Linked DNA regions of Macaca fascicularis. The protein of the gene in region 2 interacts with the protein of the main gene of each other region in a biochemical or structural test. Links are inferred from orthologs where the notes say so. Each region holds a gene or a part of one and is shown on either strand. Other genes may lie near its edges.

Evidence for each region.
Region 1: the proteins of SNTB1 (region 2) and MAPK12 interact in a test that uses a peptide from one of them, tested with the Homo sapiens proteins (2 studies listed by IntAct, with this or other methods). The link is inferred for Macaca fascicularis from reciprocal best matches to the Homo sapiens genes SNTB1 and MAPK12.
Region 3: the proteins of SNTB1 (region 2) and ASNSD1 interact in a test that uses a peptide from one of them, tested with the Homo sapiens proteins (2 studies listed by IntAct, with this or other methods). The link is inferred for Macaca fascicularis from reciprocal best matches to the Homo sapiens genes SNTB1 and ASNSD1.
Region 4: the proteins of SNTB1 (region 2) and CYSLTR2 interact in a test that uses a peptide from one of them, tested with the Homo sapiens proteins (2 studies listed by IntAct, with this or other methods). The link is inferred for Macaca fascicularis from reciprocal best matches to the Homo sapiens genes SNTB1 and CYSLTR2.
Region 5: the proteins of SNTB1 (region 2) and GUCY1A2 interact in a test that uses a peptide from one of them, tested with the Homo sapiens proteins (2 studies listed by IntAct, with this or other methods). The link is inferred for Macaca fascicularis from reciprocal best matches to the Homo sapiens genes SNTB1 and GUCY1A2.
Region 6: the proteins of SNTB1 (region 2) and RPS6KA1 interact in a test that uses a peptide from one of them, tested with the Homo sapiens proteins (2 studies listed by BioGRID and IntAct, with this or other methods). The link is inferred for Macaca fascicularis from reciprocal best matches to the Homo sapiens genes SNTB1 and RPS6KA1.
Region 7: the proteins of SNTB1 (region 2) and TANC1 interact in a test that uses a peptide from one of them, tested with the Homo sapiens proteins (2 studies listed by IntAct, with this or other methods). The link is inferred for Macaca fascicularis from reciprocal best matches to the Homo sapiens genes SNTB1 and TANC1.

Annotation. Positions count from the first base shown.
Region 1 is NC_088384.1:1,302,722-1,306,221, reverse strand, and holds the end of MAPK12 (mitogen-activated protein kinase 12), read right to left. Parts: intron 3,132-3,500; coding exon 3,052-3,131; intron 2,969-3,051; coding exon 2,890-2,968; intron 2,808-2,889; coding exon 2,634-2,807; intron 900-2,633; coding exon 820-899; 3' UTR 322-819; downstream 1-321. UniProt on the Homo sapiens protein: Serine/threonine kinase which acts as an essential component of the MAP kinase signal transduction pathway.
Region 2 is NC_088382.1:130,260,690-130,264,189, forward strand, and holds part of SNTB1 (beta-1-syntrophin), read right to left. Parts: intron 2,165-3,500; coding exon 1,957-2,164; intron 1-1,956. UniProt on the Homo sapiens protein: Adapter protein that binds to and probably organizes the subcellular localization of a variety of membrane proteins. May link various receptors to the actin cytoskeleton and the dystrophin glycoprotein complex.
Region 3 is NC_088386.1:85,315,971-85,319,458, forward strand, and holds the end of ASNSD1 (asparagine synthetase domain-containing protein 1), read left to right. Parts: coding exon 1-98; intron 99-2,592; coding exon 2,593-2,878; 3' UTR 2,879-2,988; downstream 2,989-3,488.
Region 4 is NC_088391.1:27,793,095-27,797,182, forward strand, and holds the start of CYSLTR2 (cysteinyl leukotriene receptor 2), read left to right. Parts: upstream 1-1,288; 5' UTR 1,289-1,376; intron 1,377-4,088. UniProt on the Homo sapiens protein: Receptor for cysteinyl leukotrienes. The response is mediated via a G-protein that activates a phosphatidylinositol-calcium second messenger system.
Region 5 is NC_088388.1:106,022,092-106,026,305, forward strand, and holds the start of GUCY1A2 (guanylate cyclase soluble subunit alpha-2), read right to left. Parts: upstream 2,801-4,214; 5' UTR 2,351-2,800; coding exon 2,042-2,350; intron 1-2,041. UniProt on the Homo sapiens protein: Has guanylyl cyclase on binding to the beta-1 subunit. Isoform 2 acts as a negative regulator of guanylyl cyclase activity as it forms non-functional heterodimers with the beta subunits.
Region 6 is NC_088375.1:208,553,760-208,557,259, forward strand, and holds part of RPS6KA1 (ribosomal protein S6 kinase alpha-1), read right to left. Parts: intron 3,235-3,500; coding exon 3,104-3,234; intron 1,303-3,103; coding exon 1,177-1,302; intron 983-1,176; coding exon 893-982; intron 538-892; coding exon 379-537; intron 1-378. UniProt on the Homo sapiens protein: Serine/threonine-protein kinase that acts downstream of ERK (MAPK1/ERK2 and MAPK3/ERK1) signaling and mediates mitogenic and stress-induced activation of the transcription factors CREB1, ETV1/ER81 and NR4A1/NUR77, regulates translation through RPS6 and EIF4B phosphorylation, and mediates cellular proliferation, survival, and differentiation by modulating mTOR signaling and repressing pro-apoptotic function of BAD and DAPK1.
Region 7 is NC_088386.1:54,399,250-54,403,484, reverse strand, and holds the start of TANC1 (protein TANC1), read right to left. Parts: upstream 2,801-4,235; 5' UTR 2,638-2,800; exon of another isoform or gene 1,439-2,637; intron 1-1,438. UniProt on the Homo sapiens protein: May be a scaffold component in the postsynaptic density.

The DNA.
Region 1 (3,500 bases), on a different chromosome or scaffold from region 2:
GTAGATCCTAACATTTCTCCCCATCAGGCCCTGCCCCTGGGTCTGGCTTCAGGATCCACACACAGTGGCTTAGACTCTAAGCCATTAGCAGAAGGTCACCCTGTAAAAGGGGAGGGGGTCAAGCCCTAATGTGGGGGTTCGAAGCTCACTGGCACAGGTCTGGGGAAGTGGGCACCAGCTTTGTGGCCTGGGAGAGATGGGATGCTCAGGCCCCCCAGCTGGCTCTGAGGGTCTGAGCTATCAGGCCAGCCTCCTCTACATGCAGGCCAAGGGCTTGGAGGCCTTAAGACAGGTCGCAGCATGAGGACGCACAGCCAGAGCAGGGAGCTACAAAAGGGTCTATTTCATTCCAGCCACGTGGGCGCCACACAGCTGATTTACATTCCAGGCAGGGGTGCAGGAAGGTCCAGTGACGTCGCCCAGGAGAAGGGATGTCCCTGAGTTGGTGCCCTGCGCCCACCCTCTGTTCTTCCTCCGCATGGCCCAGAGCAGGCAGGGCTCAGAGGCCAGGGCCTGACCTGGAGCCCCACCAGCTCCGAGGTTTCTGAGGGCACCGGGCAAGGGGGCCCCGGCTCCAGGCATCAGAGGCCATCCCCAGGTCGGCCAGAGGTCCTGTCCAGAAAGTTCAGGTGCTCCTCCAGGATGGGCACCCGAGAGCAGAGGCAGGGGCATGGGGAGGAGGGTCCATGGAACCCAGGGGTCTGCTCCGACGGATGCCTTGGGATGCAAGCCCCAGCCAAGGTCAAGGTGGCAACGAGGGTCCCCTCTCAGGTGGAAGGTGAAGGTGGTCCTCACTACCACCCTGGAGCTCAGAGATCTTCACAGAGCCGTCTCCTTGGAGACCCTGGCTCCCAGCTGCCGGGGAGGCTTGAAGCTGAGCACCTCTTTGTAAGTAACACCTGGCGGGGGCGGGGGGCACAACAGAAACCAGGGTCAGCCTTTGCCTTCCATCCTGGGGTGTCACTCACAGACACGCCTGGCGGTGCCTCGTGGGGCCCTTCTCTAATCCTAATGTGGTCCAAACTACTGAGAGAAGGTTTGTGTGAAGAGGCCATTGCTCTAGATCCGGATTTTCCAGGGAAAGGGGAGGTGGCCAGGGCTTGGCCACGTGTCCACCACGGTCTGTCCTAAGAGCTGAGGCCCCAGCTACAGTTGTGTGGGTGGGGACTACAGAGAGGATCCTATGGCCCATGGTTTTCAAGTTATCTTTTTAGCAGGAGAAACCTTTAATCAAAGCCAAACTCATAAGCACACAACTAAGCACACACAGCGAAGGGTGGAGGCCCTGCTGCAGGCACCCAGGGACCCGTGGCCCTAAGGAGCACAGGTGAAGAATCTCAGTCCATCCAGCCCCACCCAGCCAGTGTGGAGGACCAAGGCCCTGCGCCCAAGGCAGAGCCAGGACAGGGCCTGAAACACGGCACTGCTCCCAGTGTCCACCTGCTGTCCCCGGGCACCCCCACCACAGGTTGGTCATGCAGCCATGAAGAAGACACAGCCTGCCATTCTGGAGCAAAAATGAAGCCAGGTCCAGCATAGCCTCAGGCCACAGCATAGCTGTGGGAGCTGGGGAGGCTTCCCTGAGTTCAGCCTGAGGCTGCACAGGCCTTGGCCAGCCCTCCAAGATGAGGGGATAGCCCCTGGTATAGGGGATGATGGACCCTAGTAGTTAGGGTTGGGGTCTGGACTGCTCAGGGGGGCTGGGGGAGACAGGTGAGGCCCTGGGGACTATCTTGGGTATATAAGACATACATGTCTTGTCCAGATGGGAAGGATCCTAAAATGGACCAAAGAGAGGGCCGGGCGCGGTGGCTCACGCCTATAATCCCAGCACTTTGAGAGGCCGAGGTGGGCGGATCATGGGGTCAGGAGATCAAGACCATCCTGGCTAACACGGTGAAACCCTATTTCTACTAAAATTACAAAAAGTTAGCCGAGCGTGGTGGCGGGCACCTGTAGTCCCAGCTACTCGGGAGGCTAAGGCAGGAGAATGGCGTGAACCCGGGAGGCGGAGCTTGCAATGAGCCAAGATCATGCCACCACACTCCAGCCTGAGCAACAGAGCGAGACTGTCTCAAAAAAAAAAAAAAAAAAACACCTGGAGCAAGGAGAGGCAAGGACAGATTCACGAGATGTGAGGAGAGAGGCCTTAGGGACAAATGGACATGGTGAGGGTGGCACGGTGGCCCGGGTCTCTGGCCTGGACATGGCGGAAGGGCAGCAGGTCTGGGGCCAGGAGGGGCTCAGTGGGCCCTGCTGCCCGGACTCACAGCTGCCCTTCACCGTTCCCGGCTCCTTCTGTGCCAGCCTCTGTGCTGAGCCTGCCAGGAACACCCTCCTTTCATCTTTCAGCTCCAGCCAGAGGTCATTTCCACCAGGCCACGCGGCCCCATGCTGCCCTCTGACCTCCCATTCTCCTCACCTGACCTGCATCCCAGGGACGGGGATTTAGGACTCTGAGCCTGGCCACCTGCACAGGGCCCACAGGGTCCACACAGGCCCTGCCCGAAGCCTGCCACCCATGGGTCCACACAGGCCCTGCCCAGAGCCCCCCCACTCACAGGTCCACACAGGCCCTGCCCAGAGCCCCCAACTCGGGTCCACACAGGCCCTGCCCGGAGCCCCCAGCTCACGCTTCCATTCATCCAGCGTGCGGTCCACGTCATCAAAGGAGTCGTCATACTTCTGGACCTGGGGCTCATCTTCCGTGTCGTGCAGGGACTCGAAGTAGGGATGGGCCAGTGCCTCGGCTGCCGTCACCCGCTGCTCCGCATCCAGCACCAGCATCTTCTCCAGGAGGTTCACAGCTGCGGGGGAAGGTGCGTCAGGCCAGACTGCGGGAGGCCCCACACTCCAGCACCTGGTGGCCCCCACACTAGCCAGCCCTACCCAGAGGGCTTGCATTGGTCAGGATGGAGGCAAAATCCTTCTTCTCCAACTCAGGGAGGCCCTTCATGTAGTTCTTGGCCTATGTGGAAAGAAAGGGTGAGGGGCCAACACCGAGGCCCGGGTCCGCCCCCACCCCCACCCAGCTCCCCACTCACCACTGACCTCATCACTCTGCAGCCGCTGCACAAACTCAGCTGGAGGCGTCCCTGTCACTTTCATGATCTCCTTCAGCTGGTCCAGGTCTGCACTGAGGTCAGGAGCACAGCTCGGGGGGCCAGAGATCAGGGCCCTCACTGCCCCCACCTGGGCAGGAGCCATCCCCAACCCCCAGAACCCCCCACCTGCGCAGGAGCCATCCCCACCCCCCCAGAACCCCCCATCTGGGCAGGAGCCATCCCCAACCCCAGAACCCCCCACCTGGGCAGGAGCCATCCCCAACCCCCAGAACCCCCAACCTGGGCAGGAGCCATCCCCACCCCCCCAGAATCCCCCACCTGGGCAGGAGCCATCCCCAACCCCAGAACCCCCCACCTGGGCAGGAGCCATCCCCAACCCCCAGAACCCCCCACCTGGGCAGGAGCCATCCCCACCGCCCCAGAACCCCCCACCTG
Region 2 (3,500 bases):
TCCCTTTCGAACTTCCCATCCATCTGCTGCCAGGATCCTAAAATAAGTGCTGTATCTCCAAGTCCCCCCAGAACCTTAACCAAGTGAGAGCATTTTTCATCACAATCAGCTCCTTCTCTTGTTCTACAGTAAATGTTGGTTGCTTTTGCTTCCCTGGTATCCATTGATTGTTTTTCTTGCACAGCACCTGATTTTTTCCATTAGAGAACCACCCCTCCTCATCCTCACTGCAAATGACTTAGGTGAGGCTGATTTCAGCACTAAGACTGAACAAATTATCCAAGTCAACCCAATTAGACTTATAATCTCAGGACTTGTGTTGGAACAATTGGGGCAAAGAAGCCATTCTTCACTGAGACAACCAGGAGCAAAGAAAACATAAGCCTGGAACCGTCAGGCCAACTAAAGAGGAAGCCTGGTAATAAACTAATGAAAGGACAGGGAAAGAAAGAGATGGAGACTTAGACTTAATACATTATTTAAGTCCCTGGATCCCACCATGCCTGAAGCTTATCTTTGGACATTGCAGTTATCAGAACCCAGGCATGCCCATTTTGCTCAGGCTAAATTGAGTTGAGTTTTCTGCCACTTGTAATGGAAAGATCCTTGACTATCAGGCCCTTTTCTAATAAAAACACATGCATTTGAAGAGAGTAGAAAGTGGAGAGTGATAGAGATGTGACTTTCAAAATCGTATCAGCCATCCAGATTTATGGTCTTGTTTTCTTCAGGAACCCTAACACATAAACTCATGAAAGGCTACGGGTGGTTTGTGTTTATTATGAATTTGGATGCTCCTATCACCTGCATTGTCCCTTTGGTTCTTTGAAATCTCTGAGAGATAGGACAATACCAAGTCAAACAACCCATTTGGTGTTAAATTGTTAGGCTAAGACCCAGGCATGATCTGCTGCAAACAAAGCACAATGACGGAAAACAGCCAACTGGTGTGTTCAGGTATTATTCCAGGTGCCATATGACCGAGCCTTCTCAGATGACAGAGTTCTTTGGCAGGAAACGTGTTATTGTGACATTCACTATTCCCATTTACTGTCTATTAGAAAGTGAGTCACTGGGAGGTCAGATCATCCCCAAAGTCCAGCGTTCCTGAGCACTCAAGGTCAACTTCAAGGGACAGCAATCATATGTAAGGACAATGGCAAAGACTCAATCCTTTGAAATAGAGAGAAAGAGTAACTCCCAAGAGATGGCCACAAAGTGAGTTTTACTATCTTTAACATATCCCATAACTTGGGAAAAGAAATCAGGGACCGTGTTAATATGACCCAAAGTCTTTTCCATAGCAGCTGTCCTCTCTGAGACAGAGGCTAAGTCTTTTTATGTGTTCACTCCCTCCCCGACTCCTGCCTCGCACTGTGCCTCACAAAAGTAGGTGCTCTTTAATGATGGCATTAAAGAGCGGCTGGCTTAACAGCACAAATAAAATATAAGGTAACATAAGAAAAGAGCCAGCTTATAGTAATTGCTCAAGTAATCCTTGCTGTTACTTGTAAATGTATAATTGAATCATCTCAAAAGTGTCTGTGTTATTAACAAACAGGCTCATCAAAACCCACACAAACCCTTTTGAAGCAATAATTTGGACTTCCTTGCCTCCCAAAGCAACAGCTCTGTTCTGAGGTTGAGTTATTTTCCCTTCCCTTCATACATAGAAGTTAAAATCAAACTAATCCTCAACTCACTCGTTCATCCATCATCCAACAACCTGGACCCCGTGCAATCTGCCACATGTTTAACTAAATGCAGGTAATCAAATTCAATTAAGACAAAACCCCTGTATAATGTAAAGGCCTGTAGCCTGCTGGAGAGGGATAAGAAATCCACACAGACTGTGAATGAGAGAATCAGCCTATGGAATGAGATAACTTTAGTGGTTATGAGCGCTGGGGGAATCTCGGGAAGGATGACTATTATAGAGGAAGGTATTTTTCTTACCTTTTCTGCAAGCCAGCCAAGATGCCTAATCTCTCGGCTCCCAGCAATGCCTGTTTTCCCCAGCTGCTCTCTGACCTCAGCAATCACTCGGGTCAGCAGGTCATTAACGTTGGAATGGATGGCACTGAACCATGCCTGGGCAGTGGCTGAGTCCTTGCTCCTTAGGATCACTGTGTGCTTAGCATCTGGAGAGTGGATTTCAAGCTGCCTAGAGGAACACAGAGAAAAGGGTTAGAAAGTTTCCTGGCAGGTCCTGCTTCGTCAAGACCTGGGCCACAAAGGTGAATTAATTCTTTACTCCTATTTTTAGACTTTGTCAGTTTCCCATGGGATGCCTTAATGGTCCCGCTATCCATTCATTCACTCATTAATTCATCCACGCATATTTACTGGGTGCCCAAGTACTGGTCTACATACCGGGAACACAGCTGTGCAACCACCAAATCACCTAAATTAAGGTTATCTGATTTTCTTGTTATTCAGCTGATTTGCTGATTAGTAGTATCATATCGAGACTTCCAAACTGTGAGCTGATACTAATTTGCCTAACTTCTTAATTCACAGAGGATTTTAATAATATACTCACATCCTTGCTGGTGCTGGCAGGAAACAGATTGAAATATATCTAGCCACATGCTTAATCCTGCTGCTCAGTGTTAATCAATTGAGAATATTTTAGAATCGAAGATGACCAAACTTTGCATCTTTTAGGAATTTTGTCTGTAGCACATTTAGCGTCCACTTAATCCTCAGACCCATGGTGTGAAGGTGTGAATTGGCTTAGGAAGGGGTAACAACGGGGAGAGAGCACTTAAAATATTATATATTTAAAGTCCAGGCCCAGCATGCTGGCTCACGCCTGTAATCCCAGCACTTCGGGAGGCTGAGGTGGGCAGATCACCTGAGGTCAGAAGTTCAAGACCAGCCTGGCCAAGATGGTGAAACCCTGTCTCTACAAAAATACAAAAATTAGCCAGGCATTATGGCAGGTGCCTGTAATCCCAGCTACTCAGGAGGCTGAGGTGGGAGAATTATTTGAACCCGGCAGGCAGAGGTTGCAGTGAGCTGAGATCAAGCCATTGCACTCTAGCCTGGGCTACAGCGTGAGACTCAGTCTCAAATAAAATAAACTAAAATAAACTAAAATAAAAATAAAAGTTCAACGACAAAGCTTATGCCAGAACTCTAATTGGATTACTGAAGAAACAGAGTGAGAAATCTGTATACTGTAATTGTGGTAAAAGAAGGAAATTCTCAACAGATACTTTATGTCATTAACTTTTTATTTTGAAGTAATTATAGATTAGCATGGAGTTGCACAAATAGAACAAAGAAGTCTGGGATGCCCTTTACCAGTTTCCCCCAGTGGTTATATTTTACCTCCTGTAGTACACTATCAAAACTAGGAAACTGACATGGGTACAATGTGAAGGTATAGTTCTATGCCATTTTTTCATGTGTAGATTTGTGTAAACCCCACTGCAATTACAAGGCAGAACTACTCCATCACCACAAAGCAGAGATCTTTAATCTCCCCCGCAACT
Region 3 (3,488 bases), on a different chromosome or scaffold from region 2:
GGATTGAATAAGGAAATAATGATGGAACTGGGTCGAATTTCTTCTAGAAATCTTGGTCGTGATGACAGAGTTATTGGTGATCATGGAAAAGAAGCAAGGTAATTCTAATCATTTGAGTGTTGTTACGGTATTTTTATAAAAATAGCAGAGTTTAAATGGAGACTTTTAAGTTTGTTTTCTCTTTGGAGACTGTTCAGATGAATAACAGCAGCAATAATAGCTTGGCTTTATATTATAAACACAGTCAGAAACAGAGCTGGGAAGAGCCAGGAGAGCAGTTATTTTCTAGAACTCATTCTCTAAGAAATGTATTTTCAGTAATTTTCAAAGGTAACATAATGACAGGATTGTTTTTAAGACTATAGTGAAAAAGACTGTTGAAGTAGGCCAGGCATGGTGGCTCACACCTGTCATCCCAGCACTTTGGGAGGCCAAGGCGGGCGGATCACCTGAGGACAGGAGTTCAAGACCAGCCTGGTAAACATGATGAAACCCCACCTCTACTAAAAATACAAAAAAAATGAGCTGATCGTGGTGCCACATGCCTGTAGTTCAGCTACTCGGAAGGCTGAGAATGGCTTGAACCCGGGAGGTGGAGGTTGCAGTGAGCCCAGATCACGCCACTGCTCTCCAGCCTGGGAGACAGTGTGAGACTCCGTTTCCACATAAAAGACTGTCAAAGTAAAACTGAGATAGTGAAATACTAAGATAAGGTATGTAGAGGGTTTTGTTCAGCTTTTAATGTTTGCTTTCCTCCCAGGAAGGGCATAAGCCCCACCTGCAAGCCTTCTTCTCCGATGTTATAGAAACTGGCTTTGTCTCTGTAGACATTTCTGTATGTACAGATCCATGCTGATTTGAAGGTAGTCCTCACACTGGATATTCCTCTGCCACATGTTTTTGGACACAATTTAGTCACATATTGCAGATTACCTAAAACCTTCAGAGAAACCAAGGCACTTTCATGTATCTATTCTTGCTTTTCAGGTTTATTTTTACCTATATCATATTTCTGAAGGTAGTGAACAAGTACAGTATTTGAATAAAACTTTCTAAGACATTAAGTAAGGATAAAGGAAGATGTGACATTTAGTTATAAAGAGCAAAAATCCATTCAAGTAGGCTAATTGATTCAAGTAGGTAGTTTATTACAAGGGTACAAGCATCCAAGAATAGGAAGTCCAAGTAAGCTCCCTGAGAATTAAACATACTACAGTTTCTCTCTCTCTTTCTCTCTCTCAGACTTCATTGTTTCTTGTCTCTACTTCAGTCTTTTCCTCTTTCCACTGACTTGTAGCTGCCTTTACACAGTTGTCCTTCTTAAGTTTCTGGTCCTAGCCCATGTAAAAGTTTGGCTACTATGTCATTATTCTATCATAATTTTCCAGATTTCACTGTAAAGTGATAACTAATACCATAATAAAGTCCATAAACTGTTAAACTGTTTTCTCTTTGAAGGACGTGAGAGAGAAGGAGGTAGAAATTCGGTATGTTATTTCAGCTAGGTCATAGAGAAGGGAATTTGTCTAGTAAAAGCACCTACTTATGAAAGTGTTATATTATGCTCAAATAAAAATGCATATGAAGAATGTTTAAAGCAGCTAATACAGAATTGTGATATAACAAATATAGTGGCTAGATCTAAATAATTTGTTATGTATCTTGACATACATATTAGTAGTGTGTTGATTTGATTCTCTAATTAAATTTGCTTTTGCAACTCATTCATTTTTATTTAATATTCCACATAACAAATGTCTTTGCCCTTTCCAATCTCTTAACCTAGACTAAGATGTAATAAAACGGAAACACTAGTGTAACTGTATTGCATTTGGAGATGTGGGATGGTGGGTGTTAAAGTATTTTAAACAGAAAAAGAACAGAATTTTGTAGAAATTGGGGAAGCAAAAGGGCAGAAAGTTATTTTTTTAATCTAATATTTTGTTTCTAGGTCATCCCAGAATTTAGGGGGAAAAAATCTAATATTTTGTTCTGTTACAGTAATTTATCACCATTTAATTGGTTTAAGTATAATTAAACAATTTTGATTAACAAAATTTTACCGTGTTTTGCAGTTTCAGGCTGTGGAGCCCTTCTACATTGGTTCCATATCCCTAAAGTGTCATTTCTTTCGTTGTGATAAAGATCAGACACAGATTGAATAGTTAGTTAAGATCATGCTTGTAGGCCAGGTGTAGTGGCTCACACCTGTATTCCTAGCACTTTGGGAGGCCGAAGCAGGTGGGTCACTTGAGTTCAGGAGTCCGAGACCAGCCTGGGCAACGTGGCGAAATCTCATCTCTACCAAAAATACAAAGATTAGCTGGGTGTGGTAGTGCTCGCCTAGGTGGAAAAAAAAAAAAATCATGTTTGTTTTCAAGGCCTCCACAAAGATACCTTGTAAGACAATTTGAAACTATTTCTGGACACAGTGAGCCTAATTTATTTATTGAGACTTAGACTGTTTTGTAGTATATGTCATGTGTTATGAAACACTTAGTTTGATTACATTTTAGCTATAAAACTGTATAAATCAAAGCAGGTTGATTTTATTTTTACATAGTGGTTATATTATTTATCTGTTTATTTTAGATTTCCTTTCCTGGATGAAAATGTTGTCTCCTTTCTAAATTCTCTACCAATTTGGGAAAAAGCAAACTTGACTTTACCCCGAGGGATTGGTGAAAAACTACTTTTACGCCTTGCAGCTGTGGAACTTGGTCTTACAGCCTCTGCTCTTCTGCCCAAACGGGCCATGCAATTTGGATCAAGAATTGCAAAAATGGAAAAAAATAATGAAAAGGCATCTGATAAATGTGGACGGCTCCAAATCATTTCCTTAGAAAATCTTTCTATTGAAAAGGAGACTAAATTGTAATGTGATTCACAGTGTAACAATATAAAAATACGTTTTTATATAATTACTTATATAAAAGTAAGATACTCTGCTGCTTTATTATTGTATAATAATAGTAGTTTTAAAGTTCATTTGGTTGAATTTTCATTTTTTCCTGTTACAGAACTCCTAAAACCATGGAATTTCCTTAGTGATAGGGAGTATCTTTTGTTATTCGTAATAAGCCCCTTTTGATCACACCTGAGTTTATGCTAATGCGGTGACTTAGAGTGAGGTCTCTAAATAGCCTTTAATACTTGCAGCTTGGGAGGCCAAAGCAGAGGGATCTCTTAAGTCCAGGAGTTTGAGACCAGCCTGGGCAACATGATGAAACCCCATGTCTACTAAAAAAAAAAAAAAAGTACAGAAAATGAACTGGGCATGGAAGCATGTGCCTCCCTACTCGGGAGGCAGAGGTGGGAGGATCACTTGAACCCAGGAAGTGGAGGCTGCAGTGAGGCTAGGATCACACCGCTGCACTCCAGCCTGGGTGACAGTGAAACCCTGTCTCTAAAAAAATAAATAAATAAATAATAAAAATCAAGAGATTAGAAAAGTTGGAATTTCATCCCTACCCACCCACCTGTGGGAG
Region 4 (4,088 bases), on a different chromosome or scaffold from region 2:
TATTCTAAATGGAATCGTTTCCTTAGTTTCCTTTTTTGGTTGTTTATTGTTAGTATATATAAATGCAACTGATTTTTGTGTATTGATTTCCTATCCTGCAACTTTGCTGAATTTGCTTATTAGTTCTATTGGGGTTTTGTGTGTGTGTGTGTGTGTGTGTGTGTGTGTGTGTGTGTGTGTGTATGGAATCTTCAGGTTTTCCTACGTATAAAATTTTATCATTTGCAGACAGATATAATTTTACTTATTTATTTCCAATTTGGATCCCTTTTATGTATTTTTCTTGCTTAATGTTACTGCAGCTTTCTATCCAGGAAATGAGGATTTGAACAGTGATGGGGAGGTCAGCAATGGTTGGAGTTGGGACATATTTTATGGGCAGAACAAATGGAACTTGTTGGCTCAGAAGTGGGTGGTGGAAGAAAGAGAGAAGTTAAAAGTGACTTCTAGGTTTATGGATGGGCTAAATTATTGTGGTGCCACTGTTTAGACAGGGTAGATGGGGGGATGCAGGACTAAGAGGGGAAGAGAAAAGGTCCATCTGGGTCACATTAAATTTGGCCATGATTGTGCATCAGATAGATAAAAGCAAGAGAAGGAGGGAAGAAGTCAGAACACAGACCTCTGGGGAAAGCTCACATGTAGAAAAGGGATGGAAGAAGAGGCATCAGAAAGAGAGGCAAAGAAGAGCAATCTGAGGGGGAGAAAAAGAACCAGGAAAGTCAGAGAAACAAGGAAGAAGTTTCAGGAAAGTGGTAGTGGTCAACTATGCAAACAAGACGGGAAGGAAGGTGAGGACTGAGAAAGGATTTTTTATGTGAGCAACAAGGTTATTGGTAACCTCTGACAGAACATTTTCAGCAGAGTGGATAAGGTCTCTGCTGGAGTGCAAGTGAATTGAAAATATAAGTGAGTGAGGGAAGTGCTTTAAACAAATCTAAAGTGCTGTGTGTGTAAGGCAGTGTTGCTATTTCTGTTGCCATGGAAACAGAAACCTTTCAGGAGAACTAAAAGCCACTTAAAATCCCTGACTCTAACCCATTATATCCGCTTGTTCTCTTGAGAAAGATAATGACAAAAACCAGTCATTAGAGGGGCAGGGCAATTTTAGGTTTCTTCTTTTTAGATGTAGCCCTTAACTGGAAATCTTCCCCCTTCTTGAGAAGAGATCTTGCACTGACATCTATACTGGCTTCTAAAAAGCACAGATGACCTGCTACACTTCCTGACTTTCTTGCTATTGGTTGGCACTGTTCATAAATATAATTTGCTGTTTCCCTTTTCTTTTAAATGAGCAATCCGAATTACTTGGAGGAGAAAGGCAGAAGAGATAGAGGCAGCAGAAGCCAGGGCAGCTGAAAGACAGAGAACTTCAGGTGGGCATTTTAATCTTTGTTTTGTTAATTCAGTGTTGAGAATCATGACTTGAAGATCACGTAATAGAGGAGTAATTTTTGAAAAGTAAATTTGTTTTGTTCTACTATAAATATTATTTTCCTATCATGTACATGGTAGTTTAAAAAATACTGTGAAAGTACAAAAATGTTAAAGGAAGCCAAATTCTCCACCAAGATAGCCTCTATTGATATTTTGGGGGTTTTCCGTGTGTGTGTGTGTGTGTATGTGTGTGTGTGTGTGCGTGTTTGTGAATGTGTATATGCACATATAACTTTAGTTTTCATAGTTGCGTCCCTGCACTATGGACACGTTTATATTCATTTCCTGCATTTCAGTCTATGGTTTTTCCATGTTGCTGTGAATTCTTTGTAATCATAAATTAAAGCTGCTGCATAATATTGCATTGAGGAACTTTACTTCCTCCATTTTTAGCTGTATAGCAGTTATCCTATTTTTCATAGTTTGGGTCCTTTTATTATATAAGATATATTTTTTTCATTCAGGGTCTTGTTTTAGAGGTAGAAGAAGTTGAATCTGAGCACATATGTTTCAATGGTTTTGCTTAGAGGCACAATGAGAGTGAAAGAGTATGTGAGATCATGAGCATATAATCTGTTCCTTACCCCACTGGGACCCTAACCAGTGTTTCTCAACTCTGGCTGCACATCAAGTCAGAATCACCTGACTCTGAGGAGATTAGAAAATTACCCCTAGAATAATTGAAGCTTAACTTTTAGAGATCAGCAAGTCATCTGCAGTATTTTGTCTTGTTTTCCAGAAACTTCTCAGGTGATTCTAATAGGTGGTCGGCATAAAAACAGATGACCTACGTCATTCAAAATATTTTTCTGTCTCTGACATATACCTGAGAGTAATATGTATTAGGAGAAAGGGAGGTATAATTTCAGGCAATCCAATCAAATCTCCCTTTCAACACTACATACATAATGCAAATTACAGAATAATTTGGGGGGAAACATAAGACTTCTAGAAATTTCTATCTACCTCAGCCACATAAACTCTTGAGATGAGAATCTACTTGTGTTTCGATTTACTAATGTTTTAAAGAGGTGGATTTGTTTCCAGTGCTTCGATGGTTAAAAGTTAGAGAAGTTGAGGCTGTCGTATGTTCTGAATGTACCTGAATCACGCCCATATCTGCTAGAATCTGCCAAGGCAGCCAGGCTTCCTTTCTTTTGCAATCTTCAAGATTAAACACAAGGTGGGCATTTAATAGCTGGCCAGTCACTAACACACTGTGGGCACAGTGAAGATCGATGGCATTGGATTTGGAGGCAGAAGGTGGCTCACTCTGGCTTTCAGGAGCCCCATAGACATGGCACTTACCTTCTCTGGACCTCATGTCCTCAGGAGGAAAGTGGACAGAGTTTATGCCAGGGCTGCGTTCTGGTTTCTCCCATTGGGGACTGAAAACAGAGCCAGAGCCCCTAAACCACATTGAAGCATTTGCTGTTGCACTCCTAGCCTGCTGCAGGCCAGGAATCATCCCAACGAGACCAACAGCATGTTAATCAAATTTCTTCTTGTTTTGACTCAGTGGAGAACACCTGTTTAGTACCTTCATTAATGAATGTAAACATTCACATAGTACTTTACAAAACACGTTTACATGCATCAGTTCATTTGATCCACATACTAGCCTTAAGAACTGGAGTAATTCTTATTTTAAAGATGGTAAAGATGAGACCGAGAGAACATAGGATCTTTTCCAGGTGGAACCAGAACTGGTCCAATCTGGTTTAGCCCAGGGCACATGGTCCATTCTTACAACTTAAATAATAGCTATTGTGGGAAATTGGTTAAACATATTTCATAATGTTTATATAATTGGTTATTCTGTAGCCAGTTAGATGATGACATTGATGTTGTTATTTGGCAAAGAAAGGTGATCATGGCATGGAAATAAGAAAAAAGCAAGATATAAAACAGTATTATAAATGCGCTTATTTTTGTTTAAAAATATTTTCATATATTTCAAGAAAGATGAAAAAAAGCATATATGTGAAATTTTAGATATGTCTGGTTGGTGGTAAAGTTCATAATTTAAGTTTATTTCAGCTTGTATTACATTGTAATTTTTCTTTACCATGAACATGTACTACTTGTGTAATAAAAATAAAGGAAAGTAAATAGAATTGTTCATGTCTTTCTGGTTGGCTCTTCTCCGGATGAAATGGCCCCATCTTTTACTTGGCCGTAAAGAAGGCTGCTATTTAATTCTCTGAGTTTTGTACGTTATTGTCACAAATTTTATTGTGATTGTCAGCTAGTACTGACTGAATTCTTTGTGTGTGTTGGGCACCAAGTTAATCACTTCACATCCATTTTTTTTTTCATCAGTACTCACTCCAGTGCTCCTTTGGCAGAGGAGAGTTTGAAGCTCAGAGGGCTGCAGTAATAAAAGAGACTAAAAGGCAGAGTTGAAACTTAAACCCAGGACCCTTTTAACTCAAAAGCACATGGTTTCATTCATTATATCACTCTGCCTCCCATCCACCTGGGATCACATGAGCAGCCTCCGTTTTGGAGGAAAGATGATATATTTTTTCAGTGTACTACTCATTGCTGTGTACATGAATACATGATGGTTACTTTGGGCATCATTAAGATTTCCTGTGTACTCCAGAATCAAGGATCCTTTCTGCTTTTCTATAGTTTGCTCTATGCAC
Region 5 (4,214 bases), on a different chromosome or scaffold from region 2:
CCAAACTAATCATTATCTTTAGCAAACTCATTTAATTAAATAAGAATCTGTTGTGCTAAATAACTATTTTATTGCACAAATGTTGCTTTAAGTACTAACATAAGCCTACAGATGCTCGGCGTCACTGGACTCCCGTTGTACAGAAATATTTTCAACAATTTGCAACATCAAATAGTTCATAAAATTACGCTGCCTGGGAAATACTGGCAGGGAAGAACAGCAAACAACAGCCAATCTATTCTGAGGATTGTTTTCTAGGTTATCGATGAAAGAAAGTGACAGAAAGATATATCAAATAGGAAAATACACAAGAATAGGAAGATGACTGTTTCTCAATACGTGTTCTTAAGAATTAAATTAGTTCAAAATAAATAATAAGTGACTTATACATCTTCAATCAGGTCTTGTAAAAGAAAAAAATCATTCTCCATTAATGGAAGTGCCACAACAATATTTGTAGAACTGCCTAGTACCAGTACTCAGTCCCCTCAGAGTCCCACTCCTTCTTAGGTCCCTCTTACCATCATGTGCAGTAGTAATCTCAAAAGAGAGAGACTCAACAGTAATCAAACAAGACCAATGTTCAGATTCATTTTGGAAACTTTAAAAAAAGTAAAAATCCTAGGGGTGGGTAGGTAAAAGTGCTGTCAGGAGTAGTTAAAGCTCTTGTATGCAAGGTCAGGGTGAGGATAAAAGATGGATGGAGGTTTGACGCTGAATCTTTTTCAAATTCTGTCGCAATAGAGTGGATTCCTTCAAAACAGAACTCTCCCAGACAGGGTAAGACTGTACCAGAGGTCTGGCATTCCTGCAAGAGGTAAAAGCCAAGGGTAGTTGAAATGCCTGGGCAGGAATGAGACAGGAGTACTCTGGAAGGATGCCTACAACCAGGGGGAGTTTGGTGAACACCTGAAACTGCTGATACAGACATCCCAAGATGAGCACAAGTTTGGAGAGGCATTTGTTCATTTCACAAATATTTAGGAAGGGCCTAATATAAAGAAGCCATCAAAAAATGAGAGAGAAAGCACGAGAGAATCCATTGACGAGAGTAAAGAATGAGGTACAGGTGCAAGAAGTACAGAGCGGTTTAAATAGCTAATGTAAGAGAGAAAGCACTAGAGAATCCATTGAAAAGAGAGTAAAGGATGAGGTACAGGTGCAAGAAGTACAGAGAGGTTTAAATAGCTAATGCATGCGGAGCTTAAATACCTAGATGATGAGTTGGTAGGTGTGGCAAACCACCATGGCACACGTTTGGCACCTATGTAACAAATCTGCACATCCTGCAAATGTATCCCGGGACTTAAAATTAAATTAAATTAAATTTTTTTAAAAAGAAAACCAGACACCAGGTTTACCCGGAGAAGAATAAATGCCTAGTGGATAAGGGGGGAAAAAAAAAAAAAAAAGCTATGGGGTGAGGAAAACTCGAGATTAGAGATTTCTTCAACAGAAGGCAACTCAGAAAAGTATCTGGCAAAAAGTATCTGAAGATCTGAGAAAAAGGATGCAACATAGACTGCAGATAGCCTGTGGAATTCAACGATGTCAGAGAAGGTCACGCAAAGACCAAGAGAGTGTGGGAAATAAGGAGAGGAAGGGTTTCCTGGAAGGGGTTGGGGCTCCTTTGGGATGCTAGAGAACAGGATGAAAGATAGGGAAGCCGAACTGCAGAACACAGTGCCTGGGAAAGTTTAGGGGAAAGAAAACAGGTGGGTGTGAAGCAGCACTGGGGCCGTCCAGGGGGAACAGTGGTGAAGTAGGGTTCAAGGCTAGAGGTGGGCAGACTGGCCCCCGCATCAGGAGACCCCAAAGGAGTGGAATCTTACTCCTTCCCGGTGCTCTAGTCCCCTCTTCCGCCCTAGCCTAGGGCATCCTCTGTCGCCCGGAGCCACTGGAACCCTAGGCCGGGCAGGGTGAGGCCGGGCCGCCCCCCAGCGGTCGGGCTCTGAGCTCGCGCCCCGGCTCGCCCAGCGCCAACTTTACCGATCCGCGTCCTCTCCCCTGAAGGCGGTCCCCCCTTCCGCCCCCCGCTCACCGAGGGCGCCGTCAGGCGGCTGATGCTCTCGCCCAGCGAGTCCAGGTTGACCCGCCTCCGGCGCTGCACCCTCCTGGCCCCGGCCGTGGCGGCGGCGGCGGCGGCAGAAGCAGCCGGGGCTGGGGCGGCGGCGGCGGCGGCGGCAGCGGCAGCGGCGGCCGCGCTGGGCTCCGGCGGCCCGGGCGGGCTCCGGCTGCCATTCCAGCAGAGCCTAGACAGGGGGCACTCCCCCTCCTCCTCCGGGCTGGTCTCCAGGTAGTCGGAGCCCAGGGAGCTGAAGGACTCGGACGAAATCTTCCTTCGAGACATGCTGCCGGCGGCGCTGCAGCGGCCGAGGCGGTGGCGGCGAGGACGCGAGCGGCGGCGGAGGCGGCGGTGGTGGGACCGGCGAGCCGCAGCGTTAAGCGCGTCGGGGCCGCGGGGCGCTGCGGTCGCGCTCGGCGGGGCGGGAGTCCCCGGGGCCGCGGAGCCCCCCGAGCCGGCTGCTCATGGCGGGAACTTGGGGCGCCGCCACACCTTGGGGCCCGGGCTCGGCGGCGGCGCCGGGCTGGGCTGGGGGCCGCCGCCGCCTCTGCTGCTGCTCGCGCGGCGCCGCCTCAGCGCCAGCCTCGGCGCATCGCCGTGCGCCGCGCTCCCGCTCACGGGGAGGCTCCGAGTGTGTGACCGCGGTCGGCGGGGCGGGGAGGGCTACGGCCCAAGCAGAAGGGGAAGCAGAGGCTTCTGCCGCCTGCGCGCCTATCTCGCCCCCTTTTCCTCTCTGCTCCCGCCCCTCTCCTCCCGCCTCTCTCCACTTGCTGCCCGCCTCCCTCCTTCTCCCTTTATCCCCCCGCCCATGCTCTCCCTCCGCGGGTATCACGTGTCGCCCTCATACTCATTGGGAGTCTCTGCCTCGCCTGTCGCCACGTTTCAGGAGCAACGAGGACACTTCGTTGCTGTCCTCTGCGCGCCCTCCCTGCCCCGAGAAGGTGCGCACAAGAGCTCGGATCGGACTGAGGGGCCCCAACCCCAAACGCCTTATTCTCGGCCCTTGGGAGCAGATGGGCCCCGGAGGCGCTGGTGGGGAGAAGGACTCGGGACTGGGGGGCGAGAGGCCTCCCCCTGGAGCCACCTTGGGGAAGCCTGACAGTGTGAAGTGGGGGTTAGGGTCCATGTCCTTTCTCCGAGTTTATTTAGGAAGTTCCGAAGCAAAACGAAAATGCTAAGCGTCCAGCCAACCTATTCCAGAAGAGACGCTTACAGGGGAAGGGAAGGACAGGGGCAACATGTTGGCGCCCATCCTGCTGGAGCAGCTCCTGGGGACTTGCGTTCCCCGCCTCGTGCGAGGCCGTGTGGGCGCGGAGCGAGCCCAGAACGGGGCGGCAGTGAGAACAGCGTCTGCTCTGGCAAGAGAGCCCTGTTGCTGAGTCTCAGCCCAGCGGGGTGCGCGGGGCTCCCGGCTCCGCCGACACCTCACTAGTGCTGGACAGCTCCGCATGCCATCTACAGCCGCGTTTGCAGGCCTTGAGAACTGGAAAACAGTTTCTCCTCAAACTACCTAGTATCTGGCCGGGGGGAAACCGGGGAATGATCCCACGTCCCTCATCCTTAGGGCTCTTTGCGCCAAATAGGCGATCTGTTTGCACCTGACTGCAAATGCCGCTCAGAAAGCTAAGAGGAGTAGGGATGAAGGCTTCTCAAACTGACTCGCCACAGCGCGATCATCTCTTGCCGCGAGTTTTCAGCTGTGCGGTTTCATTCCAAAGCTTATCTCTTTGCAAACCAGTCCTTCCAGCGCCTGAGCCCACTGCCCCTTGCCTTAGCCCCAGAAAACTCTCATACTGGTTCTGAGAATAGAGTAAGGGATGGTAGAAGGGGCAAATGACAGTATCCCAAAAGAGGGGTCCCAGGCTGTACTTCTCCCTGCAATAAAGTGGATGAGCACCCTCCCTAGCTCCCCCGAATCCGCGGAGAGAAAAGTTCAGGAGCTCAGGCTTTGGTTTCCCAGGGAAACCGAAGTCAAAGCGTTTTTTTGTTAAAGAACTGGTCCTTCCAGGTGAAGGCAGACGGGTTTGTGTGGACTGTGTTTATTTAAAAAGCAAAACAAAACAAAACCACAAAACCTGTGCTGAACCCCCACCACAATTTGCTTTTAACTCCAAATCTTCCCAAGTGTTTGTGAGGGCTTAAATGTAAA
Region 6 (3,500 bases), on a different chromosome or scaffold from region 2:
TTAGTAGAGACCGGGTTTCACCATGTTGGCCAGGCTGGTGTCAAACTCCTGACCTCAAGTGATCCACCTGCGTTGGCCTCCCAAGGTGCTGGGATTACAAGCATGAGCCACTGCGCCTGGCCTGGAAACTTCATCTTATGCTAAACCTTACCATGGTGACTGGCACACAGTAGATACTGAATAACTTTCCATACCTTCCCTTTCACGATTGACCACATCTCTCCCTCCCTCCTTTACACGCATCCCCCGACCCAGCCTAGTCTTCCCTCAATTTGGCTAGCTGGAGGTTGCCATTCCTGGGCCAGCATGTGGTTCATGTGCTCTGCTGATGGTATGACCCTTGGCATCCCCCTACCGCCTCCCTGAATCCAGACTCACCCCCTGTGAGTGCAGATACTCCACAGTTTTGCCGATGGTGTGCAGGACGAAGCTGGCCTCCCGCTCCGAGAAGAACTTCTGCCGCAGGATCTTGTCCAGCAGCTCGCCACCCCGCATCAGCTCTGTCACCAGGTACACGTGTTTGCCATCATCGTACACCTGCCGAAGACCTCACCATCAGGCTCTTCTCCCCAGTGTCAGGCCTGGGCCCCCTGGTCAGCAGCGCCCCAGAGCAGAGAAGAATGACATGAGCCTTAGGCAGGTATTCTGCTTGCTCTTCAGTGGCCCCGCCTTCCCCAAAAGGAGGATGCTGACACTGGTCCCCTGATAGGCAAGAACGTCCTCAGAAAATGCCTGAGTCTGAAGGAGGGCCCTTGGGGGATGGGCAGACTGGAGGGACCAAGGGACCTCTTTCCCCTCCACATGACCACCGGAAAGAGGATGAGAAGTCAAAGGAATGGCAACCCTGAGACAAATCCTAGAGAGTCGAGTTCCTGGTCCCCACCCCACTCACATCTTTCAGAGTAATGATGTTGGGGTGCTGGCCATACCGCAGAAGAATCTCAATCTCTTCTGAAGGATCCCGCTTGCTCTTATCAATGACCTGAAGAAAGTGGGTGCATGTGGCAGTGTCAGGGTGACAGGCTCCAGGGTCCTTCCTTGCCATGGAGCAGGCCTGGAGGTCTCGGCCACACAATCTTTCATACATCTGCAGAGCTCAGGCACCACCCCTCCCCACCAGACGGGGACCTGCCCCCGGCCCGGCAGCCTTGGCTGAGACGTGGTCAGGAGGCCCACCTTGACAGCATACTCCATGTTGGTGGCCTTGTGGACACAGCGCTTGCACACAGAGTAGGAGCCCACACCAATCGTCTCCTTTACCACGTAGCCGTCGCTAAAAACCAGGTTCTTCCCATGGAGTTGCTGTAGGAGACCAAAAATTGTGGCTGACCCCTGGCTCCAGAGTGCTAAGGGTCATCTCCCAGCATTCAAGGTCTTGGCTCAGTAGAGACAGCACCGGGGAAGGGCCAGGAGACTTGGCGTAGAGTGTTGGCCATGTGACTGCAGGTGAGAGCCTGCCCCTCTCTGGGCCTCAGTTTTCTACTCTATATGTTGGGCATACTCGCTGGCTCCCAGCCTGCCTGGACTGCAGCCTGTGGTCAGAGGGCAGCGCAGGGAGTGGGCAAGAGGGTCACAACACACATGGAGAGGACTTTAGTTCTGAAAAGCCTGGGCAGGCCTGGGAGGGACGCAGGAGCCCTGAGCTGAGTTCCAGCTGTGCCACTAAGTATGGCTTTGAGTGACTTGCCTCCCCTTTCTGGGGTGTCACAGCTCAACTCAGGGGGTGTCTCAAGGTTCTGGGACATTAGCCATAGCAATGCTGAATGGTGCTTAGTGTGTGCTGCGTGCCAGGCAGTATTCTAAGCACTTTCATCAGGTGACTACATGCCCCGCGGCCAGCCCTGGCTTGCGCCTGCGGTCCTTGCATCCAGTCTGATTTAATATTTGTCCTGGATAAAGATGTCCCAGTTTGGAAAATAAATTACATAGTCACCTTAACTTTATTTTTTATGTATTTATTTTTTGAGATAGAGTCTTGCGCTGTTGCTAGGCTGGAGTGCAGTGGTGCATTCTCGGCTCACTGCAACCTCTGCCTCCCGGGTTCAAGCAATTCTCGTGTCTCAGCCTCCCAAGTAGCTGGGACTATAGGCACATGCCAACACGCCCATCAGATTTTTGTAGTTTTAGAGATGGGGTTTCACCATGTCGGCCAGACGGGTCTGTTTAAATTCCTGCCTCAAGCAATCCACCCTCCTCGACCTCCCAAAGTGCTGGGATTACAGGCATGAGCCACCGTGCCCAGCCCACTTTAACTTTACATGTATTAACTCTAATAATCCTCATAATAGCTCTATGGAGGAAGATTCTATCATTTCCCCATTTACAGATAAGGAAACTGAGGCACCAGGAAGGGAAGTATCTCATCTAAAGTCCATTATCTGGTCGGGTGCTCATGTCTGTAATCTCAGCACTTTGGGAGGCTGAGGTGGGTGGATCACTTGAGGTCAGGAGTTTGACACCTAGCCAACATGGTAAAATCCCGTCTCTACTAAAAATACAACAACAACAAAATTAGCTGGGTGTGGTGGTGTACATCTGTAGTCCCAGCTATTCGGGAGGCTGAGGCAGGAGAACTGCTTGAACCTGGGAGGTGGAGGCTGCAGTGAGCTGAGATTGCCACTGCACTCCAGCCTGGGCAACAGAGCAAGACTACGTCTCAAAAACAAACAAAAAAAACCCCAACGTCCATTATCTTGTGAATCTGGAACCCATGCAATGAGCTGCACAGTCTACATTCTTGCCTCTCAACCTGAAACTTTCATGAGGCAGTGGAAGTGTACAAATGGGGAACAAGTGTGAAGAGATACAAGTTATTTGCTACCCTTATGCCAGAGACACGACAGTCACTCTGCACCACCACCCTGGGCACCCCCTGGCATGTACCCAGACCCTGCTCTGTGCTGGGAAATGTATAGCCATATCATCATCCAATTATCAGGGCCACAGTGTGAGGCGGGCCTTACTGTCCCTGTTTTATGTTGGAGACCCTACGGGTCCCACAGTGGCACGAGGGTATGAACCCGGTTCTGTCCAACTCAGAGCCTGTATTCACAGCCATTCTTTAGAAAAGGACAACGGAGCAGCAGCCCCCTGCCCCCCTCACCTGTACCACCGAGTGCAGGGGTGCCTGCGGGGCGCGAGGCTTGCCGTCGTCCTCCATCAGGCCAGTGGCCACGAAGCTGAAGCCCCGGAACAGCTGATGGGCCCCAGCGCTAGGGGGGATGCCTGGGGAATCTGTAGGGGCAGGAGGGGAATGTGAGGGTACCTGAGGAGGTCCCCTCGACCCTGAGGCAGCCCAGCAAAGGGGGAGCACAGGGCCTCAGACCTGCCTCAGGGGCTGGCCATGGCAGGAGCCTGCAGAGGGCCTGTCCATCCCAGGCCTTAGCCCGACTGCTCATATGTGTTTAGACCAGTCCAGTCCTGATGCATGAGGAACATTAAAGACTCTCACATCCCAGGCCAAGACAGTTCGTCCCTTCCTGGATGCTCCCTCCCCAGCT
Region 7 (4,235 bases), on a different chromosome or scaffold from region 2:
ACCAGTTAAACTATTTATCATAAAGATAAAAATAAAGCCATTTCTTTTTCTATGAGACTCTCAACCCAACTGAGACAAAATCTTTACAATTAGGTTAGAAATGTCTAATGGAAACATCGACATAAAGTTAACCTCCAGCTATGCTGGCAGGAGTCATTATAATATGGATTATAGTTCCACTGGCCCAGGGATGCTGGTTTTAGTGTTCCCAGAGAGATAAAGAATTAATCAGCAACTCAGAAGAGGATGTCGCCTAAAAATGGACGATTTAATCCAGACAACTCCATTGTCTCTAAAATTATGCCCTCAATCATCCAGTGTCAAAAACCTACTATGGCACCAAATAAATTGTATGTGGTTAAAGAGACAAAATTTCTTTTTTTCTACAGGCTGTTATGGGAAGCAGAAAAAGGCTGACTATGAATCAGTTATGTCTTAGATCAAGGATGAATATAAATTATAATAATTTGGGCATTCTGGTGGTTAAACCAAGAAAGCAGGAAAACCATTGCTTCCAAGTTCCAGCAACACTTCGAACCAACAGGCTTGGTGCCAAAAAGTTAAGTTTGGGGCACCACAAGTGCAAGATAGGGTCATAAAAACTCACCTTAAATTTATTTGTGGGCTTTTCCTGCTTCCACTAAAATCAATGACACTATTTCCCATCTGTTATTGTCAAATCACAACAGTCCGGAAGCCTGGACCAAGTTCACTTGGCAGGTAACAGGAACAACCCTAGGAGGAAGTCCTGAAGGATATCAGATACCATAGTTCCTTTACTGCCACATACTTTTCATTTCAGAACCACCAGGATATATTTGTGATGCTTTTTGACTAACACTTAAACCAAGCATTCTGACTGACACAAACTGCAGAAACTGGCATACTCTAGGGAAGGTCCCTTGTGAGGTCTTTAAGTAGCTTAGATGAGTAAAACATTCAGACTACTTCCATAATGAACCCCTCTCAGCCGCTCATAAATTCTTTCATTCCCAGCAATCAAGAAGCAGCTGTTAAAATCCTGGAATCTTCCTAGCAGCAGATCTGAAATACCTCCAGGCTGACCCAGGAAGCTTCACAACTGCTTTCTTCTCCTTTCCCTCCCCTGCCTCAGGAGTGCCAGCCTGGCAGGAATAAAGATGACCAAGGAAGGAAAAAAGAAGGTAGCGGATCTGGTGAAAGCAGAGACGCAGACTCCCTTCATTTCCACTACAGAGAAATACTAGCCCTCTGTGCCAACTAACCAGGTTTCTCCTTTCCTCTCCCACCCCCACCCCTCCAAACACGCATTAACTTCTGCAGTCTGGTGTGTCTGGCATTTCCAGGGCGAGCGATCTCAGCAATTCTGAGCCCTTTCCTCAGATTCTGAACCAGGAACTTCCTTTCCGCGCCAGCCAGTTTGCGATCCAACGCACGTTAAGGCTCAGCTTCCATTTACCTTGTAACCTGTACAGACGACGCTGCTTCTGAGGTCAAGTTCAAGATGAAGGTTCCCTCATCTCCCAAGTTAACTCCAGCTGGGAACAACGCCACTGCGAACGGTCCCAACATTGGAGGCACAGGGATCTGGATCTGCCAGGAGCTGGCAGGAGGGGCCTGGGAGAAGGCCGTCGCCGAGCCTGGCGTCCTCCGCCCCTTGGCCGCAGCGTCGCGTTTCTACCTGGCCAACGCCACATTTCCTCCCGGAGCACAGTAAGTCCAGTAAGTTTTGAGAACACCGGTCTAGAGACCTTTCTGTCTGCAAACACACCACCCAATGTCTAGAGCTTCCTTCCCAGCCAGGCGTTCCGGAAAGCCGCCGCGCCGAAGCCGGGAGCCCCGCACACCCACAACACTGCGCGCCCGCACCCCAAAGTCCTTCAGGAAGCCAGTGCCCTGATATCGTCCTCCCAAAAGGACCGCTCTGCATCCAAGAACAAGGGGGCTCACAATCTTGACAATTACTGCTTTTCTCAGCGTCCCACCCGTAAAGAAAAACCCCCAAAGTCTAATCCTAACTCACCCCTACCCCCAGTAAAGGAGTGTGGATATGCTAATCGCAGTGTTCTTGGAAGCAAAGCAATAGATTTTCAGCCCAGACTATGGCAATACGATGCCCCCGGCTTAAGTTCTCTCGGCAACTTCGCGACCCGCGCACCCCAACTCTCCGGGGGGCGCCTAGGACCCCGCTGTGCCAGGCGCGCCTCCCCTCGTCTCTCCCGCGCCAGGTACCAGGCGTAGCCCAGGCCCTTGCCAAGCCCGAGGGCTACAGCGAAGGCGGGAAAGGGGGCGAGCAGGCGCGCCGGGCGGGGGTGGTCCCAAAACTCAAGCGTGCCCCGAGCATTCCCGGTTCCCATCACCCCGGTTCCACCGCAGGCCGGCTCGGTCCGGCGCGGCGGAACCGCGCAAGGAAGGTGCGGACTCCCCAAAGCCGCCGAGACCAAGGCCCGGGGCGCCCAACATGTCTGTGCCTATTCCCGGAAAGCTCCCGGGTGTGCCCGGCGGAGAAGGGGGCGCTCCGGAAACTTTCCCACACGCCTTTCCCTTCTCCCATCACCCTCTCCTCCCCGGGTCCCTCTCGACCTTTCCGCACACTGGCAGCTGGCCATGCCCGGGGCGCTCGGAGGCCCACGGCGGAGCCGGGGCGGCGGGAGTTACCTGCCGGGAAAGTTTCCAGCTCCTCGGCGCGGTTCCCCACACCCAGGGCCGGGCCTCGGGGCGCGGCCAGCTCGGCGCTCCGCTGCTGCCTCTCCTCCAGCTCCCGAGGCGGCCGCCGCTCCAGCAGCTGCCACAGCTAAGCGTCCGCTCCGGCCCGTCCCCCGCCTTGTTCGGCCCACACCGGGGCCTCATTGGCAGCGCGAATCCCCGCCCTTGCGCGTGTTCCCGAAGGCACCTTCCTCTCGCGCGCCCGCCCGGGCCGCGCCTCCCGCCCCCCTCCCCGCCCCGGGCTGCGGCAGATCCAGGAACCGGCTGGAGCGCGGAGCGCGAACTTTCCGTGGGGTTTGGGCGCGGGGTGGCCTTGTCCCGCCTCTCGGCGCCAGGTCCAGGCCAGAGGCACCCTACCGTCCCTTGGGACACCGGGTCCCCCGGGGTGCGCCTGGGCCTCCCCGGGACCAAAATGAGATGGGCCATAGTCTTTTTTACAGCCTCTTCAAAATCAACAAAGCGACTCCGGCCTTCCCTCCTCGCTGTTTTTTTACCACAGCCGAGGAGGACATATGGGAACAATTAACCAAGCTGGAGTTTCCGTGGACGCTTTAGGGTGGCTTGTGCGGCTTTCTTGGATTTTCTCTGCCTCACTTAACTACACACAAACACAAACACACTTTCTGGGGCCAGAATGAGCTAAATGAACTGGAAGGTCTAAGAAGGCATCTCGCAGGCTGCGTCTTCTTCTTTCCCAAAAGCGACTGGGGGATGTTCTGGGACCGGTGATTTCTCGGGCGTCCGTGGGCCCGCGGGTCTGGACCTCCTGCGACCGCTCCGGGCTGACCCGTGCTGTCTGTGCTACTTTCACAGAGGGACAGCGTCGTGCTTCTGTCGGAAGGAGGTGGGAGGGACGGAGGGGAGAGAACACACAAAGATGCTATTATTTTGTCGGTTGGTGGCAGTAAATTAAACTCCTGAGTTCCCAAAATGTTTTGTTATTCTCCAGCAGAGCAAAAACCAGGATAGGGCCTAGGGATTCGGGTGTCCTGGGTTCTCCAAGATCCTCCCAGGAATCCCAGGCAGCCAAATTGGCCTAGGGTACTCTGCCCACTTATTACCCGAAGCTCTCTAAGACAGCCTTCGTTGATCTAGTTGACCAGGGAAGGATCAACTAGAACTGCCCCTGCCTTGTGTGGCCAGCGGGAATTGTGCACGGGTCAACCCATTGGTGTGTCTGGAGCAGAGAATAGAGAAGTTGCTATAAACCGATTTATTGGCAACCCCTAACCTTGCTGTGGCAAACCCGCCTTTAAATACGATTGTGTTTTAAACAAGTTTCCTCATAAAAACTTCAACCTCACGCAGAGCTTCCCAATATAAAGACACCAGCAGGAGGGGTGTCCATATTTAAAGGTCTTATGAAAAGGGACGGGAAGCAAAATGCCACACAATCTCTTTTCATAAATTAAAAAGACTGAAATGGACTGGATTTTTCACCCGTAGTTTCAAAGGCCTGATTACTGCTGTGTTGATATTTGAGCAGTAAACACATCAGCGGCCTCGAAGTATTCCCGAAATGAGGCAGGATAGAATATTTAAAATAAAAA